Arabidopsis thaliana: one gene and its partners. The protein of the gene in region 2 purifies or fractionates together with the protein of the main gene of each other region. This does not show direct contact. Each region holds a gene or a part of one and is shown on either strand. Other genes may lie near its edges. The genes, in order: AT5G45620, AT2G44070, AT5G19485 and AT4G19006.

What was found.
Region 1: the proteins of AT2G44070 (region 2) and AT5G45620 fractionate together in Arabidopsis thaliana (co-fractionation; one large-scale study listed by BioGRID). This does not show direct contact.
Region 3: the proteins of AT2G44070 (region 2) and AT5G19485 fractionate together in Arabidopsis thaliana (co-fractionation; one large-scale study listed by BioGRID). This does not show direct contact.
Region 4: the proteins of AT2G44070 (region 2) and AT4G19006 fractionate together in Arabidopsis thaliana (co-fractionation; one large-scale study listed by BioGRID). This does not show direct contact.

What each region holds. Positions count from the first base shown.
Region 1 is NC_003076.8:18,499,932-18,504,662, reverse strand, and holds AT5G45620 (Proteasome component (PCI) domain protein), read right to left. Parts: upstream 3,178-4,731; 5' UTR 3,074-3,177; coding exon 2,924-3,073; intron 2,630-2,923; coding exon 2,183-2,629; intron 1,985-2,182; coding exon 1,904-1,984; intron 1,709-1,903; coding exon 1,512-1,708; intron 1,419-1,511; coding exon 1,319-1,418; coding exon of another isoform or gene 1,241-1,318; exon of another isoform or gene 981-1,240; coding exon 795-980; 3' UTR 519-794; downstream 1-518. UniProt on the Arabidopsis thaliana protein: Acts as a regulatory subunit of the 26S proteasome which is involved in the ATP-dependent degradation of ubiquitinated proteins.
Region 2 is NC_003071.7:18,230,318-18,234,325, reverse strand, and holds AT2G44070 (NagB/RpiA/CoA transferase-like superfamily protein), read left to right. Parts: upstream 1-1,695; 5' UTR 1,696-1,856; coding exon 1,857-1,877; intron 1,878-1,994; coding exon 1,995-2,839; intron 2,840-2,918; exon of another isoform or gene 2,919-2,936; intron 2,937-2,946; coding exon 2,947-3,001; intron 3,002-3,148; coding exon 3,149-3,229; 3' UTR 3,230-3,461; downstream 3,462-4,008. Other genes in the region: AT2G44065 (Ribosomal protein L2 family), read right to left, coding at 3,958-4,008.
Region 3 is NC_003076.8:6,573,057-6,578,338, forward strand, and holds AT5G19485 (transferases/nucleotidyltransferase), read right to left. Parts: upstream 3,479-5,282; 5' UTR 3,297-3,478; coding exon 3,231-3,296; intron 3,157-3,230; coding exon 3,061-3,156; intron 2,954-3,060; coding exon 2,876-2,953; intron 2,771-2,875; coding exon 2,690-2,770; intron 2,603-2,689; coding exon 2,383-2,602; intron 2,297-2,382; coding exon 2,238-2,296; intron 2,129-2,237; coding exon 2,079-2,128; intron 2,005-2,078; coding exon 1,917-2,004; intron 1,829-1,916; coding exon 1,577-1,828; intron 1,491-1,576; coding exon 1,398-1,490; intron 1,320-1,397; coding exon 1,215-1,319; intron 1,127-1,214; coding exon 1,010-1,126; intron 917-1,009; coding exon 851-916; 3' UTR 536-850; downstream 1-535. Other genes in the region: AT5G19490 (Histone superfamily protein), read right to left, coding at 3,713-4,138, 4,211-4,268, 4,371-4,481, 4,567-4,660, 4,764-4,836, 5,185-5,217.
Region 4 is NC_003075.7:10,408,634-10,413,430, reverse strand, and holds AT4G19006 (Proteasome component (PCI) domain protein), read left to right. Parts: upstream 1-1,963; 5' UTR 1,964-2,083; coding exon 2,084-2,233; intron 2,234-2,536; coding exon 2,537-2,983; intron 2,984-3,177; coding exon 3,178-3,258; intron 3,259-3,351; coding exon 3,352-3,548; intron 3,549-3,637; coding exon 3,638-4,082; 3' UTR 4,083-4,283; downstream 4,284-4,797. Other genes in the region: AT4G19010 (AMP-dependent synthetase and ligase family protein), read left to right, coding at 1-277, 505-694, 978-1,123, 1,201-1,268, 1,400-1,502, 1,591-1,716. UniProt on the Arabidopsis thaliana protein: Acts as a regulatory subunit of the 26S proteasome which is involved in the ATP-dependent degradation of ubiquitinated proteins.

The DNA of each region.
Region 1 (4,731 bases), on a different chromosome or scaffold from region 2:
CCTACCATAACATGAAATTTAGAATTATGTCTAGCTGTTATGGTTTAGAGCACAAATTTAGTAGTACAATACATCATCAACGACACACGCATATATACTCTCACTTCTTAGAATTCACATCTCCACAGTGGTTAACACTCTCGAAGTCACACCGGAATCATAAACGCCATCTAAAAACGTAAATCTTTTGAACCTAAAGCAATATAGCTTCCATGAGCAGGCATAGGAGGAAGAGAAGCGATAAGGATAAAGCCATTGCGTCGGAGAAAGAATATACCAACGGTAGTGACGTGTTTCAGGGTTATGAGGAGTGCATAGAGACAATGTTCTGTGCAACGTAACAATGATCGGAAACGCCTTGAAAGGAGTGAGATTGTTGGGAATTGAATCTTGGTATACGCGCTATGAGTCCAAGATGAAATCATCGGGAAGTGACGTAATCGGAGACCAGTGCCAGAAGCCGCGAGAATCCCCAAATTTTAGGCTCAAATCAACTATTCAGAGTGAGTGAGTCCACGTTTAGATCCTATCAGATGACTTTTTCTATAAACTGATTGACTTGTTATGGTTATGTGAATAATGAATGATTGTCAAGGACATGTTTTAAGAAAAAATGTATGAAAATAGTCTAAATGTAGAACTGAAATTTCGGACATCTTGAAATGGAAGTCAAAAGATTAAAAAGCAATTGTAATTTCTTCTACGACTGAAATAAAAAACTTGAATCTAATCCCAGAGAAGATGGTGTTTTACATTCAGTAGCTTCAAAAGGAGGAAGAAGGTTTTCTTTTCTCTTATGCTGCAACAAGATCTGGTGTCTCGGCTTCAACAGATAGTAAAGTGGTGTGAACTTTGTCAACCCAACTGTCTAATTGATCCCTCAAAGCCTTGATCTGTGGAATCCCTAGTACTCTCGGTTGCGCCCATGAGACATAAATTGTTCCGTTCACTTGGTCTATGATGCCCTCGATCAAATGCACCTGTATCATTCATTTTCCACTTTAGATTCTACAGAAGCATACACAATCATTCTATGTCTAAGTCAGGAACAAAACCAGTCAAGATCATTTGAGTTCTATAACAAAATTACGCAATAAGACGACAACTGCAAATACATAAACCTAGAGATACAATGCGTATGGTGATGTTTACTATGTTGTTCTTAATCAGATGACAGGTAGTTCAGTATCATTATGTTGGTCACTCAGACAAACTCTTTCCTTGGTCACCACAACAGATTTTAACCCGGAAGCTGCAGAGTTTTTTGGGTACTAAAAGAACACAAGAGAGAAAAATGCAAGGAGATACTAATACTTACAGAAAGGCTCTTCATGAGAAGGTGCTCAACATCTTCAATGGAAAGTTTAGTACGCTCAGCGATGATGCTCAAAGGAATGGTTCTATCTTCAGCGGGTCGGCTGATGTAGAGTTTAAAATCAAATGTATTAGCACATGATTTTATTTCTTTGATTGAAACGGCGTGAGGTACAATTGCCTAGAGAAAAGTTTACCTGAAGATGATCTCGATAAGGCAGAGAATGTTGATCTTTTCCAAAAGCTTCTTCTCGTTCTCAACAAGTGCTGGTTGAGCAATCAAGGATGCGTTGTGCACACGGCATAGTTCTTGATACTGAACTAAATCACCATGGTTGAATGCCTGTAGAATGTGGTAGAGCCATTCCACATTTGTTCCAAGGAGACTTTTCAACTGTCATCAGAGAAATGCTACATGTAAGAGAACCATCTACAATTCTAAGCAAAACTATAACATGAGAGTTAGAAGCCGTCTCAACTCACAAACAGTATCTATCGTAAATCCAAGCAATTAAAGATCAACAAGAAGCCTTTTATCTACACAAGAAAATATAACAGTAGTTTATGTCGAGGATGAAGGAAAACTTACAATGGGATGGGCTAACAGTTCCCCAAAGTTATAGATGTTCTCCCCAAGTAGAGCTGATAGTGACAAATCGAAAGCCAAATCCTGAAAGACACAGATATGATCTGACATTAGCAAAATTTGATCGGTGACTCTAGGGAAGCTAACTAGTACGCAACTTTTTTCTTCAGTTTCCTCTAAATTTCATCAAATTTCTGAATACTCTTATCCACTATCGCTAACAGGAAACTTAACATAAGAACAAAATATAAGAACAAGGTACATAATATTACAGGGGCATACCAGCTTAAACGATTCTGAAAGGTCCTCCACAGACGTGTATGCAAGATAAAGCAGAGCACTTTTGTAGAAATCAGAAAATTCTTGACGGCACTTATGGTACTGAGAAGACACCCAATAGAAGTTGGCATAGACTGATGGATCAATGTCAGTCATACTATCAAGAGAGCTCTTTCCATCGTCCAAGATTTTTTTGCACTCCTTCTGATCACCTTGCTCAAGCTTGAATAAAGCTTTTTGTGTTTCAATATAAATGATTGGTTCAGTAATCCTAGGCTCTTTAGTAGCTCTAAGTTTCTCAATCACGCTTTCAAGATAGCTAACTGCAGCTTCTTTCTCAGAGTACTGTCGAGAGACCACCACAGCAAAATGCGCAAGCTTCAGAAGATTGATCTTCGTCTCAAAGTCAGTGATGAAATTGTGATAGAACTGAATCAAAGCATCACCAGCCTGAAATGAAAAAAAATTATATTATAACAATGACACAGGTTAAGATCAGACACAAAAACTTGGAAGCAATCAAAATTGATCTATAAACCCTAAAACCTAACTTTCTTCGAAGAACTTAATCCGAGAAAACCCTATCATCTTCCAAACGGATCTCTAACTCGTGTTATTCGGAAGTAAAAACACAGATTCTACGATATTTGTCGAGATCTATGAACCCTAAAATCCACAAGGACCACTACTAAACCTAGATAGATATTGAAACCAATTAGTATTACGGAGGAGAAGCAAAAGTACCTGAAAGACAGCGAGAGCGATGAACTGTTCGAGCTTAAGGGTGAGTTGATGCCAGAGCTTTTTCTGATACAGATCTGCAAGGGAATTGTACCATTCGCCGAGCTCTGGATGCGTATTTTTCAGAGATTCCAAGTATTGTAGAGCAGCCATGGCGAAAGACGAAGACGAATGAAGAAACGAGTTTGCGAATTCTCTCGATCTTATGTAACTCAGCTCAGCTCTGCGTTTAAAGAATCCTAAAAAACCCTTTTCTCAGTGTTTTCACGCCCGACCCGAACCGTCCGGTCCGACCGGTTAACCCGTAACCCGAACACTTTTCCGGTTTGGGTTTAGTGCTAAAACCCAACAAGTTCAAAACCGAAAAAACCCACAAAAACTCGCAATTAACCCGTGACCCGGTGAACCGGTTGAACCGGCCGGGTGTGGGTTTTAAAAAGTTCTCTTGATTTTACAATAAAATATGGGATTTTAGACTTTATTCAATTATTTTTAGAAGTTTTTTCAGTTCTTAAATTCATTTGATGTTTTAGATTTTGTTGAAGACTTTACAATACCGCCTTAAAATTGAATCGAATGGTGAGAGAGACAACCGAGATTAGTTGTTTTAATTCACGATGTTTTATTAATTTATTTATGTCATTGATGATCTCCTAATATATTTGTTACGGTGTTAGACATTTATTGGATTTCAAATTTTTAACCACTTTATTATTATTGTTTGATTTTTTCTATATATATATATATATATTTGGGTGTAAATGATTTTATATTTTGTTAAATATAATATAATTTTATATTTGATTAAATATGATATGATTATTTTTGTTTTATATTTATAAATACTACAAATTTTTTTATTATAAAATACTCTAAATTTTCTATTAATATTAAATTTATTAAATAAATTTTAACTAATTAACCCGTGGTCCAACCCGGTTGACCCGGTGACCCGGTGACCCAGAAGGTAGTCCGGTTCATCGTCCGGGTCGGGTTTCAAAACATTGCCTTTTCTCTTCTTCTTTTTTGCTAAGCAGATAATCCTTTAATTTAAAAAGAAAAGAGAACTACCGGGACCAAAGTATAAATATGTGAGTTTTAAGGGGTATTTATGTAATTTAAATTATAATAAGGTGGATTTGTAATTTAGCATTCCACATGACCGGACAGAGTTTTGAAAACCGGAACAGAAACGAACCAGAAAGTTTTTTTCAGAAAAGAAAAATATAAATATTAGATCAATGTCATTTGATTACTAAATAATCTTATTTATGGTTTACCATAATAATTTTTATTATGACGGTATTTTACAATATTAATAAAATATTGCAAATTTTAAAAATGATTTTCAATTATTTATAAAAATAATATAAAACACATAAAGAAATCAAGTTAATAAGAAAAAGAGAATTTTAACCATAAATAATAGTAATAGTACAAAAAGTTTTTTGGATCCTAAGTTTTACCGACTGCTCCATCAAAAACTTTAAAGCGAAAGATGATTATTTACGATGGATCCGTAAATATAGATATCATAAATAGTTTGTATATTGTTGTTACCTTATGTTTTCATGTTAAGATGTTTATTTGCTCATTTTTCTTTTATGTTATGTTTTGATCAATGACAATTTAATCTATTAGGTTATGTTTTGGAATTAATTAGATAACATTTTGATAACCGGTGATAACAACAACTTGATGACCGGTGATAACAACAACGGTTATGTTTGCTATTTAAAATTTATTTTGAAAGCATGTTAAATGAAAAATTTGAATATCTGATATTGTTATATAGTTTACAGTCTTGTTTA
Region 2 (4,008 bases):
TTTATAACACTTTAGAAAAATATAATTAATCATTTTCTAATGTATTATTTTTGTAATTGAGTAATTTGATTTAAAAATATAAACTAATATAATAATATTGGTATTTAATCATTTCAAATATTCTTAATTATATTCTTTTTGAATACACGCATATTGTTCTAAACTATTAATTTCTTACAAAAATTCTATATTATTTATTGTGTCTACAAACAAAAGAGTCGTCTAATCATTTTTGGTTTCATTTTTTTTTTGCTAGAAATCAAAAACAAATTCCTCATTTTTTTTGAGGTAAGCTAATGTTATTTTCTAATAACAATCATAAGTAATACCCGTGGTTTAAAGTTTACACGGTATTAATTAGGTACTACAGCCATGGTGGACGGTGGATCTTCATCACCTAATCCGTACAATTAAGAGACAATTAATTACATTAAATCATGTGCATTAGTTGATTTAGGAACTAATTGATAAATCAACTCTAAAGACTAAAGTAGTGCGATAGATAAAGCTAAAGTATATATTTTCTTCAGTATAAAGATAGGAATATATGGGGACATATACTTTTGTCGATTTTGTATCCAGCTTTGCATCAGTGAAGTCTGAGCGAAGATATGACCAGACTTAAAAAGCAACTAAAAAGATGCATAACAGAAACACAAAAATAAAATTCATGCATCTGCTAGTCATAGAGGTTATTGGATTCATTGCACGTATCTTAATGATTCGTTTTCGTTTCACCTCCCTTGCTACAAAAGATTTGAAAGAGAAAATGTTAAATTCTTTAGGTCAGAATCAATTAAGATAATTTCATTTTCTTCTTGTGTTTTGTACGTCACTTGTTTCTTTTTTCGTTGGTTATGTACCAAAACATGAAAAGTTCAAAAATTGTTAATTAGAAGATTAAAGAGAAGAGTAAGAATAAAGATGAAATGAGGAATTGATATGGAGGAGTAGGACCCAAGTTTGCAAGGATGGTGGCTGGCTGGCTGCTCTGTTGTTTGTTACATCTCATTCTCAATCTTAATTCCAATTCTATGTGCTTCTTTCACTATTTCCCTATAGAATACCATTCTTGTTTTTTTTTTTCAATTTTCAAAAACCACTATAAGGAACTTTTTCAATAGTTGCTTGTTTGTTTAGACCAAGGAAGATGTCAAATAGATTTCTTCACTTTTCAAGTGGAAGCAAAATTATGCGGTCAAGTGTATTATACTAGTGTGTGTTTTTTTTTGGTTTAATACCGACTAATTTCTAACTCTAATCTATCAGTGAACGTCTTAAAACTAATATTGCTGAAGAATATATTGTTCTCTGCTACAGCCTACAGCATTCAAAGTTTCATCAAAAAGATAAAATGTATATATAACTAAAAGTTTTGGGTTAATAGATAATAGTCAAAGAAGACATTCGTGTTGAATGTTTCTTTTTTTTTTTTTTTTTTATCGTGGGGATTGATTCAATGCATTGTTCCAACCTTTTGACTCTTTCTCGTGTTTCCTTTTTTATTCGTTTTCTGAATTATACTTTTTAGACCCTTTCCTCGAATTTTTACTTGAGCCCTACTCTAGTAATACATAAGCATATATATAAAAATCTCTCAAATTTGATTAGGACAGTTTTAGTATATAAAAAAAGGAAAAAACGCATTGTTTAAAACGTGGTCATGACGAAAACGTTTGATTTCGATCGATGATATTTAAATAAAGGAAACACCTAACCATATTTATTCTTAACTGATCAAAGATCCTCCAATTTCACGAAGCCTAAAACTCTCAAAAACAGATTCAATAACGTCACCAAACCTTGAGGCTTTTTAAAGGAAGAAGCATTTGAGAAAATCGTAACTTCTTGACCCTATGCATTCTGCTGTGTACAAGGTATGGTTAGTGCTTGTAATATACAATTATATAATCTCTTTGTTTTAATAAGTGGTTGCTCATTAAGATGAATGTTACTTGTCTAGTGAATGAGTATGACGTTGTTGTGGTTATCAGGTTGGTCTTCATTATCTTTCTTGGGATATTTCTGGTGGCAATGCCAGATGTATTGCGATGCTCCAAGCATTCCAAGAGGTTGTTAAAGATTACTCGACGCCGCCTGAGAATACCCTTAATAGAGACATGACTGCTCAAATAAGTAGCTACGTCTCTTTCCTCATAGAATGCCGTCCGCTTTCGATTAGCATGGGAAACGCAATCCGATTTGTGAAAAACAGGATTGCAAAGCTGCCTATAACACTTTCTGAATCTGAAGCAAAAGCTTCTCTTCACTCAGATATTGAACGTTTCATTAACGAGAAAATCATAGGTGCAGATACAGTGATAGTCGAACATGCTGTCACTAAAATAAGAGACGGTGATGTCCTTCTGACCTACGGATCTTCCACTGTCATTGAGATGATATTAGTGCATGCACATGAACTCGGGAAAAAGTTTCGTGTCTTTGTGGTGGATTCTCGACCAAAGCTTCAAGGGAAGCTACTGCTTCGTAGATTGATCAAACGAGGCATTAACTGTACATACACTCATATAACTGCCATATCATATATCATGCACCAAGTCACCAAAGTGTTTTTGGGCGCCTCATCAGTTTTTTCTAACGGAACAGTTTACTCAAGGGTTGGCACTGCTTGTGTTGCAATGGTGGCTAATGCTTTCCGTGTTCCTGTGCTTGTTTGTTGCGAAGCCTATAAGTTCCATGAGAAGGTGCAGTTGGATTATTCAATATGCTCCAATGAGCTCGGTGATCCAAATGCTATTTCAAAAGTTCATGGAAGAGAAGACATAAACTACTTAAATGGCTTGACCAACAATGCAAAGCTGAAGTTTCTGAACTTGATGTAAGCTAGCTTGTGTTAATCGTACAAGTGAAACTATATATGTTCTGTTAATACTATTCTTCTCTGCCTGCCACTAAACCCGTTTGTGATTTTTTTTCTAATGATAGGTATGATGCTACACCTTCAGATTACATTTCCATGATAATCACAGATTATGGCATGGTAAGATTAATCATATCGGCTCTTAATTAAAAACATAGCATTATGGTGATCAAGTGATCTCATCCCTAAACATAACTCATGCAACACAGTTTCTCCACTCATTCAGAATCTCAAACCATTGAACACTGACCATGTTTTATATTTCAGGTACCTCCCACAAGTGTGCCTGTCATCGTAAGAGAATATCAGAAAGAACACTTGCTTCAAAGCTCAAAGATTGTTATTTAGATGCTCAAAATAGAAGTAAGAATAAAAATGAAATGATATGGAGGAGTAGGACCCAAGATTATAAGGCATGGTTGCTGTTCTGTTGTTTGTTACATCTAATTCTCATTCCTTATTCCAATTCTGTGGGCTTCTTTCACTATTTTCCCTATAGAATACCATTCTCGTTTTTTGTTTCAATTTTCAAAAACCACTATAAGGAACTTTTTCAATAGTTGGTTGTTTGTTTAGACCAAGGAAGATGTCAAATTGATTTCTTCACTTTTTTGATTAATGTTTTGGGGTAATTAATTAGTCAAAGAAGACATTTGTGCTGAATGTTTTTTTTTGCTGAATGTTTTTTTTTTATCGTGGGGATTGATTCAATGCATCATATTGTTCCAACCTTTTGACTCTTTCTCTTGTTTCCTTTTCTTTTCTTTTTAGACCCTTTTCTCTAGTATAAGCATATAAATCTCTCAAATTTGATTTCGACGATTTTAATATATATATAAAAAAAAGAAATTCGCATTGTTTTAAACGTTGTTATGATGAAAACGTTTGAATTCGATTTTTTTTTTTTAATAAAAGTAAACACGTAACCATATTTATTCTCAACTGATCAAAGATCTTCTAGTTTCATGAAGCCTAAAAAACTCTCAAAAAACAGATTCAATAACGTAACCAAATAACATTGGAGGCTTTTTAAAAGAAAGAAACGTTTGAAGAAAATCGAAACTTGTTCACCCATATCACATTTTGGCTGCTGCTTCTGCCAAACGCTTCTTCTTCTTCTTGACACT
Region 3 (5,282 bases), on a different chromosome or scaffold from region 2:
ACGCACGTTTCTCATATGGGGCTGCGTCTGTCATAACCAACGGTACTGTACATGATGAATATGATTGAGTCAACAAAGCTATGGTTGTTTTAAACATGAAGAAATAATTATTGTCTAAGGCTTATAAGAAGATAACCTGGAACTCTAGCGACCGAGAGTGCACTAACTTTATTTTGGAGTCTCAAATAATTAGAAATGTTTCTATATGGTGTAGATTTGTCTCAACATAACATAAAATGATTTGGATTTGGTTTTGCAGGTTTAATCTCTAAATAAAAATTGCATTGTGGGAGAAGTTAGGAGGGGTTAAGCAACGAAAAGTTCGCCAAGAAGAATCACAACTTGTACATTTTGTTACACTTTAAACAAGCTATGAAGTTTATCTATTCTCGTGACTATTTAAACAGAAAGGTTTCATACATTCGAAATCATTTACTCTGAAATTTATCGAATCTGAAGGCATGTGACTTTTTGGGTGTATTCGTCTCTATGGAAATACCAAAAACAAAATTTAGATCTTTCAGGAAAGTGTTTTATCTCGAACAAAAGAGTAAATAATGAGAAGAACAAAAAAAGACATATGTAATATAACCAACGGAACAGAGAGAAGGGTCAGTGGCTGACAAAGTGTTTCAAGACTTCATGTATATGTAATGAATAGCAAAAGATCAAACTCTATCAGTAAAAGATACTAACGGAAAATCTCAAACTCTTAATCAACAAAACCCTTAGTGGGAAACTTTCCAATCCTTCACACTCTTCTCTCCTACCAAACGAATGACTAAGTAATGCTGCTTTTCATTTTAAAAAAGCGTTCCAAGATGTGACCTCATTTGCTTATCCTTCCTTTTCATTTTCTAGCAAAGGTCTCTCCTTTGTGCTCACTCCCGGCACAAACAACATACCCTGCTTCCACCTATAAAACCAATTGATGTTTTGATTATGGAATCTGTAAAAGCATTGATACGTAGGGGACACTGTATTATGAAAACTGAAGGGGGTAACGTACTTGGCAGTCTCTTAGAGTAACACGCTCTTGAAGCTGTGCGTTGCTGCAAATGACTGAGCCTTGTATTGAACATCCGTCTCCAATTGTGGCATGGTCCATCACAACTGAATTAACAATCTGCACCCACATATACAAGCAGTTGAGTGTCTTTTCGAGATGTACACCACCTTTCTTTGGCTGGCTTGAGTAAAAAGCTAATTATTACCTTCACATTGGAGCCTATCCGGCAATGTCTCCCAATTACAGATCTTTTGACACTGCATTTATCACCGACTTGAGAGCCTTCTCCAAGCATACAATGAGGTCCAACCTGCAACCCAAAAATTGTTATTCACGATCACAACTCACAGAACAAATGCTCAATATCTACACATGTAGAGTTACGTACTGTGGTTTTCGATCCAAGCTCAGCTGATGGGTGGACAATGTTGTGATGAGCAGAAAAGGAGTATCCAGATAGGTGGTTTGATTCACCAATAACCTGCACAAGTTTGAACAATTGCGGAGCTTCATAAGTCAACTGAGAAAAAAATACTGGAGAAGGAATCCCATGTGTAAACAACTTACATCTCTGTTTACGTCCATGAAGGCTTGAATGCTATTCAAGCGGACGAAATACTTACTTTCATCCGCTATATAAACACAGCATTTATGGGTTTTCCGGGTACCCAGACCTGATTCATAGACTTGATGAAAGCTTGGCATGGATGCGTTGGAGAGAATTTGAGACAAGACCACCTCGTTGTTCTGCATATTATTTTTTCCATTTCCATTCCCATTTTCTTCTACATTACTTTGGTCAGAGAAGACATCTGATCTCTGATACTCAAGGGGAAACCGCACAAATAAGGAATCAAAATGGTAATAAAAAAAAAATGGTCATTTGCAAGGACCGTATCCGACTAACCAGCTGTGTACGAACAAGATACGGTAGTACATCCTGTTTTAGGCTCCTAAAAGCAGGTTTTTGATCCAAAACTTCCTGCAGAACTGCTCTGTAAGACAAAAGAACATATTGAGTATCGACAGATAAAACTACTTTGATAGCAGGAAAGCAGATCTGACCAACCTCTTGAAGGCATATATATGAGAATCCATCAGATCTGATCGAATTTCCATCTAAATCGAAAATGACAAGATAATTAGAAACTGTACTAAGAATTTGTAATATATGAATCATAAAAAGATGCATTTGTAGGTAATTTCAAAAACTTAATAAGAACATTACCTTGCCAGCCGCACAGAGAATGCTCTTTTTTACTCGGGTATCTTTCTTAATCTCAGTACCTAACACAATTTCAGGAGGTAAACCAACAACAAGTTCAAGCATTTTGTTACCTCTAAGAAACATAAAGAAAAATTAAAAGTAGGACCTTTGGCTATGTATAACAAGAACTGTTTCAAGGAATCAAGCCCTATGATATCATCGCAAGCAGGTTTTTTGGTTTTATCTTTCCCACCAGAACCTCCTGATTCTGATGGCCCACTGACAGGTTGAGCACAAAGCATAACAGTCACTGCTGCATCATGCCTTCTATGAGTGGCGGCAACAGCACCAGGAGGAATATCAGAAACAATGTCTCCACTTACGATCTACGTCAAAGCAAATTACCAGTTAACTAGAAGCTCAAAAAGTTGCACAAAGCAAAAGCTACGAGACGTCTTTATTGAAAAGCTAACCAAAATGTCTTTGGCAGTTAAGTGGTGTGCAATTGCCCTGAGTGCCCCAGCAGTTCCAACATTCTCAGCAACAGCAGCAACCTAAAGTAAAATATCCAGCAGAACATTAATAACGAATATGACACTAGTTTCTTTCAATCATGCATAGAGTTTTACAGAATTCAGATGCCATAGATGAGTAAATACCTCAACATGTAAACGATCAACACAAGCAGAAGAAATCCATCCACCAACTTTCAAAGCAGCATCTTCCCCTTCAACAACCTGTTCCACCAATGCGAAACGAAAAAATCTGAGCTCTATTGAAAACATTCAACCTAGAAACTCGCAAAAGGAAATCAGTAATTGTATTGAAAAGATAAAAGGCGTACGACGATCAGATCCTTGAGATTACTACTCTCGAGAAGATCCAGAACGTAAGACAACACCGGACGATTCGCTACGGGAAGCAACGCCTTAGGAACTTCCTGAACAACAACAACAAATTAGCAATTCGTCGAAACTGTTATGCTGATGATGAGAGTGAAAGAGAGAGACGGACCTTGGCGACTAAGGGAACAAGATAACTAGAGAATCCGCCGGCTAGAATCACGACCTGGAAATCCATTGTCGCAGCTGAATTGACGAGAGAAGACGAAGAAGAGAGGTTTCTGCTTTCTGGGGTTTTGATTTTGAGAAACGGTAGACGAAGACGATATCAATTTAACCCGCTTGTTTCTTTCTTTTGGATCCGACGGGTCGTTCCATTAATCTTGGGTTATCTATCTCACTTAAATATTTTAATTAAAATTAAACATTAACAAAGATTAAACCATACTTTATGTATATGATTTTATAGTTTGTGTAAAGCTTGCTATCAAATTAGAAGAGATGAATGAAAAAAACGAAATTACATTAAAGAGAATGAGAGCAATCTCCTACATACACACTGCTTCTATAATATATAAGTGTGTCAATTCCTAAGTTGTTGTTTTCTTTCTCCTACCTTTAGTTTTAAGTCATTTCACCTAAACTGAAACTCTTTCACTCTTGGTCTATGCTTTCTTCATCATAATCTTCCTCGTCACTAGCACTAGCCTGTTGTTGATCATCAGGATCTATTTTCATTTCGTTAATCTCCAACGGGTAATCTGGACTTCTCTCTAGCTGTGTTTCCAGCCATGTAGCATTGTCTCCATTCTCATCTAATTCAACATTAAGATCGAAGTTCCTTACTTTTACCTCTGAGTTACTACTATGATGATTGTTGTGTGATGCAACTTTCTTCCAAGATGTATCGTCGTGAGAAAGGCTCCCGTTTTCGGGAGACGGGGTCCTGCTGCTTTCGGGAGAACCGTCTTCTAAATCTTCTTCAAATTTTAGAGACAGCCCACTTCCTGTTCTTCCACTACTTCGTCCGCGGCCTCTACCTCGCCTTCCTCTGCCACAGCTAGTATGTTTGACCTCATGCTGTAACAAGGCGAAACATATGCGTTAAGTAATATACAATTGTCTATTGGCAAAATAAGTCTGGCTAGTTACCATTTGAGTGGTCTTTATCATATCTTCATCGTTGCAACTACTTCCATCAACAACTTTCCTGAAAAGTCGAACAAACAAGTTGTTAGACACGATACCGATATCAAAATTAGGTAGATTGATTGCTGACATAGAATAGAACTATAGAAGAAGCGGGCCTAACCTTCTTTTGGTAGCTGATTGGTCTTCAGTGTCTGAGCCACCCAAATCAGGAACTTTAGCGACAGTGTCTCTTAGAAAATCAAAGACATTAGTCGCTTGCACACACTGCTTCCTGGAAAAAGAATAGAAAAGTATTGAAGAAGCAAGAAAACAATTGGTTTATATAAGCAAAATCCAAAGATGAGATTCACACTTACAAATGAAAGGCGTTGACAGTTTTAGCACCTCGGCTTAGAGTTACATCATACGTGTGATTACACAAGTCTTGTAAAAACAGCTCCAAAGCTTTAGCTGAAAAGTTAAATTCAAAACCAGAACAGATCAACTACATGTGACACAAGCTAACATATGAACAACGTTTGAGTAAGAAAATCAAAAACATCACATCACTTACAAACAAGAAGAGGGACTGCCATTGCTATTTTGCCAACTTCCTCATCAGTTTGCATAATCTTCTTAATCCTTGTCTGAAACAAATTTTGAACATATCAACACATACAAAATCAGACTCAGACACTAAGAAATTTCTTATGTAGATATCAACATCTTTGATTAGCCCTAAACAAGATATCTCTGCAGTTTATTTATATCTAGCCATGAACAAAAGAGCCCTCCAAGTCCAAAGATACATTCACAAAGATAAATTTAAAAACCTAATGAAGACAAGGACCATGGAACCCTGAAGAAGTAAACCTGAAATCATAGCAAAAGTTGAACCTAACTACTCTCACAACTCACAAAACAGAGTTCATGGTTATCTCCATAAGAAGAAGAACATAACAAACTATAAAACAGTGAAAAGTAATGTTTCATACCGCTGGAAAACGTGTCTGGAGCTTCTTCTTCATGCTATTGTTTTACAGAGGAATAGCAGCTTCCAAAGTCAAGGGGAAGAAGATAAAAACCCTAATTT
Region 4 (4,797 bases), on a different chromosome or scaffold from region 2:
GTTATCACTCTTTGTGATGGGATTGTTGTCTCTGGGATCAACTATTGTTGTTATGAAGAGGTTTGATGCTTCTGATGTTGTTAATGTAATTGAAAGGTTTAAGATCACTCATTTCCCGGTTGTTCCACCTATGTTGATGGCATTGACAAAGAAGGCAAAAGGAGTTTGTGGTGAAGTGTTTAAAAGTTTGAAGCAAGTTTCTTCTGGAGCAGCTCCTTTGAGTAGGAAGTTCATTGAAGATTTCCTTCAGACTCTTCCTCATGTCGATTTGATTCAGGTCTCTGAATTTTACTTTTGGATGTCGTTTTAGAAAACTGAATTAAATGTTATTCATTCATAAACTCAATAAGAAGTAGAATCTACATTTTTTAGAAAAATTTGACATCTCTTCCCAAAAGAAACAACTAAAATTGATTTAACGAGGCCATGACTTTTTGACTCACACTATTATTTTCTTTACATTTAGCTGAAAGTGTGTATAAAATGGATCACATTTTGTTGCAGGGATATGGAATGACTGAATCAACTGCAGTTGGAACACGGGGCTTCAACTCGGAAAAGCTTAGTAGGTATTCTTCTGTGGGACTACTGGCTCCTAATATGCAAGCCAAGGTAGTAGATTGGAGCTCTGGTTCTTTCCTTCCACCAGGAAACCGAGGAGAGCTCTGGATACAAGGTCCCGGTGTCATGAAAGGTAGATAGATTCTTCCTACTGTACTTCTTTACCAAAATAGTTGAGATTTTCCTTCTCAGTTCATGAATAAAGTCTTTTGTCAATGGTTCAAATCACTGAGAAACACTTGCATCCTAATAAATGTAAATATAGATTGGATCTTCCAACTTTCGTGGGGCTTATTTGGTGCTTGTGTTGATAGATTAGGCTTATTATCTTGTTCTTGATTTTGTGCTACATATTTTTATGGAACAGTTTTAATTTTACTTGGAGAGAATCTGAACACCGTTCATTTGTCTGTCAGGATACTTGAATAACCCAAAAGCAACTCAGATGAGTATAGTTGAAGATAGTTGGCTACGTACTGGGGATATTGCTTATTTTGATGAAGATGGTTACTTGTTTATTGTTGACCGTATTAAGGAGATTATAAAGTACAAAGGCTTTCAGGTAAAGGAACAGCAGTTTCTCTTTCAGCCAACTCTAAATTAGGAAATATTAATTCTTTGCATTTATGGTTTTTGCAGATCGCTCCAGCAGATTTGGAGGCTGTTCTTGTTTCACATCCCTTGATTATCGACGCTGCAGTAACAGCGTAAGTTCGAAAAAACAAATCTTGATCATTTACTAAACTAGTTTAATAAGTGAAAGATACTGCAAATCCAGTTTTGGAGAATTCGACAGAGTCTGTTACTCTACTGAAAGTATCCAAACTTTCCATTTCAGTGCCCCAAATGAAGAATGTGGAGAGATTCCGGTAGCATTCGTTGTCCGGAGACAAGAAACAACACTTTCAGAAGAAGATGTAATAAGCTATGTAGCTTCTCAGGTTAGGTTCCCACTAATTCAAAATGGCTTTTCCCATTTCAAAACACTGATCATTAATGTAATACATTATTATACATTACGTGTTCTAGGTTGCACCCTACAGGAAGGTGAGGAAAGTGGTGATGGTCAACTCTATACCAAAATCTCCAACTGGGAAGATATTGAGAAAGGAACTAAAGAGAATTCTTACAAACTCTGTTTCTTCAAGACTATGATTCTTTCTTCATTTGTTTGGTAATAAGTAGCAGACAGAGAGATCCACTAATATAGCCTTCATAACTCAATTCATTGGTTTTGTAGCATCAAAAGAAATAAACAGACACATTCTTTGATTCTCAGTGAATAAAGCATTGTAACCCAATACGGAAACAAAAATTCTTTCTGAGCCCAAAATGTAATTTTAGCCTTAGTATTTTATTTACATAAAAGTCCTTTTAATCGTTGGCTATTGCATTTATCGCCCAATACTTGTCTTTGAGCTCAAGAAATATAGTTTACTAAAAGGCTGGGTTTTTCTGGATTTCTTACTCCCAAACCGATACAAGATCGAAGCTTTGCCTTCTGTTTCTTCGAAAATCTACCATGGCTGCTCTACAATACCTTGAATCGCAGAAAAATGCGCACCCAGAGCTTGGTGAGTGGTACAATTCGCTCGCAGATCTGTACCAGAAGAAGCTCTGGCATCAGCTCACTCTTAAGCTCGAGCAGTTCATCGCTCTCTCTGTCTTTCAGGTCAATCTCTTGAATTTTCATCGTTTCGTAGTTCTTCTGTGTGATTAGGGTTCATAGATCTCGAGAAAGTTAATAGGAGTCGTCATGTTAGACTTGGGTTTATAGAGAGATCTGAAGGATTCGTTCCGACTCTTAGGTGATTTTTCAGATTCATTGAAAAGCTTTGTATTGGTGAATTATCGCACTTCTGTGACCAAAGCTTTCGAATATTTTAGCTCAGAGATACCCAAAAACTCAGCTTTACAAGGTTTACAGATTTGTTAATGACGTGTTTCCCCCTGTTTATGTTCATAATCTTTGCAGGCTGGAGATGCTTTAATACAGCTTTACAACAATTTCATCACTGACTTTGAGACGAGGATCAATCTTCTGAAGCTTGCGCATTTCGCTGTTGTAGTCTCCCGACAGTATCCTGAGAAAGAAGCTGCAGTTAGTTATCTTGAAGGAGTGATTGAGAAGCTTAAAGCTACTAAAGAGTCAAGGATAAATGAACCAATTAGCTATATAGAAACACAAATAGCTTTGTTCAAGCTTGAGCAAGGTGACCAGAAGGAGTGCAAGAAAATCTTGGACGATGGAAAAAGCCTGCTTGATAGTATGACTGACATTGATCCATCAGTTTATGCCAACTTCTTTTGGGTCTCTTCTCAGTACCATAAAGTCCGTCAAGAGTTCTCTGAGTTCTATAAAAATGCTCTTCTTTACCTCGCTTATACGTCTGTGGACTCACTCTCGGAATCATTTAAGCTGGTACGTCCCTCTGAATGTTCTAATCATTCATATATGATATATGTAGTCGTTACGTTACCAAATGGTCTTTTAGCAATTTTGGATAAGTATTAGCACTCTATGAAAGGAAACTTACAGTGAAAAATGCTTTATCTCTGTAAATTGCTTTGTGTTCCAATCAAAATGTTAATATCATATACTTTCGTTTCTTTCAGGATTTGGCTTTTGATTTGTCGCTTTCAGCTCTACTTGGGGAGAATATCTATAACTTTGGGGAACTGTTAGCCCATCCAATTGTAAGTTTCCCTTCATCCTCCAAATTAGCAAACCACAGATTTATTCACCATTATAGATAAAAGAACACTGACATGTTATATATGTTATGGCAGTTGAAAAGTCTGCTTGGAACAAATGTGGAATGGCTTTACCACATTCTACAAGCATTCAACCACGGAGATTTAGTTCAGTACCAAGAACTCTGTCGTGTGCACAATGCATCGTTGAGTGCTCAACCAGCACTGGTTGAGAATGAGAAGAAACTATTAGAGAAGATCAACATTCTCTGCCTTATTGAGATCATTTTCAGGTATTCATTCTCTGTAGGAGTCATCTTATACCCATATACAGATGAAAACAAACTTAGTACTTAACTTGTATATAACATCTTTGCCACAGCCGACCTGCTGAAGATAGGACCATACCTTTGAGTGTCATTGCCGAGCGTACTAAACTTTCAATCGAAGATGTTGAGCACCTTCTCATGAAGAGCTTATCGGTGAGTACCTTTTTCTTTCCTCTCTCTTTCTCTCTATCTCATTCTATCAGTAACATTAAAAATCTAAAGAAGATTGGCAAGACGCAGACTCGAAATCTTCTTGAATGTGTGATTCTGTATTGGTTGATTGTGAAAACTGAGGAGAATGAGTTATTGCAGGTGCACTTGATAGAGGGAATACTAGATCAGGTGAATGGAACAGTTTACGTCTCATGGGCGCAACCGAGGGTGTTAGGAATACCGCAGATCAAGTCATTGAGGGATCAGCTAGACAGCTGGGTCGATAAGGTTCACACCACATTGTTATCTGTTGAGGCCGAGACACCTGATCTTGTTGCAGCTTAAACTCTTCTTTCCTCTTTTTTCCTTCACTGTTCGTTTAAGCTACAGATTGTAACATTCTCTGAGGATTAAATGCAACTTCCTTTTAAGTTTTTAGGTATTACAGTTATACTTTTGAACTTTGTTCTCCACAGACACATGAATCTATCCTATTAAGTTGAGTTTCATCGTTAGTGTTGCCTTTAAGGCTTAAGCCTATTTGCATAACAAATGGTCCAACTTTTGTTATTAGACGTGTGAAAAACTCATAAATCTCAAATAGTGGAATGAATCCAAATTGTCAACTTCTGAAATGAAAAGTGTAAGGGTAAAATAGTCAAAACATATTAAACCCCAATTATCACCATCGTTTCGTTTCAATCAAAATTTTCCGATTTTGAGATTTTGAAACAGAGCAGTCAAGTCTCAAAGACTCCAGCTCATCTGTCTGCTTCGTAAGCTGCTCGCTCTCTAAATGTTTTGTCTTCTGGGGAATAGATTTTAGGGATCATCGGTAGATGCTGTTGGATTGACATAATCCAGATCTGATTTCTTCTACAAAAACATAGCTTTCTTCTCTGGGAACAATAGATTTTGATTGTTGTTTCTGGGTTTTAGATTTCTAATGTTGGGGTTTTGGTGATTCGATTTCTCAATAATGCTTCAAAATCGAAAATTGAATCGGTTAGAGCTATTTTGGGAATCTCTTTGCGTTAATTCGAATTAGCATATTTGCAGA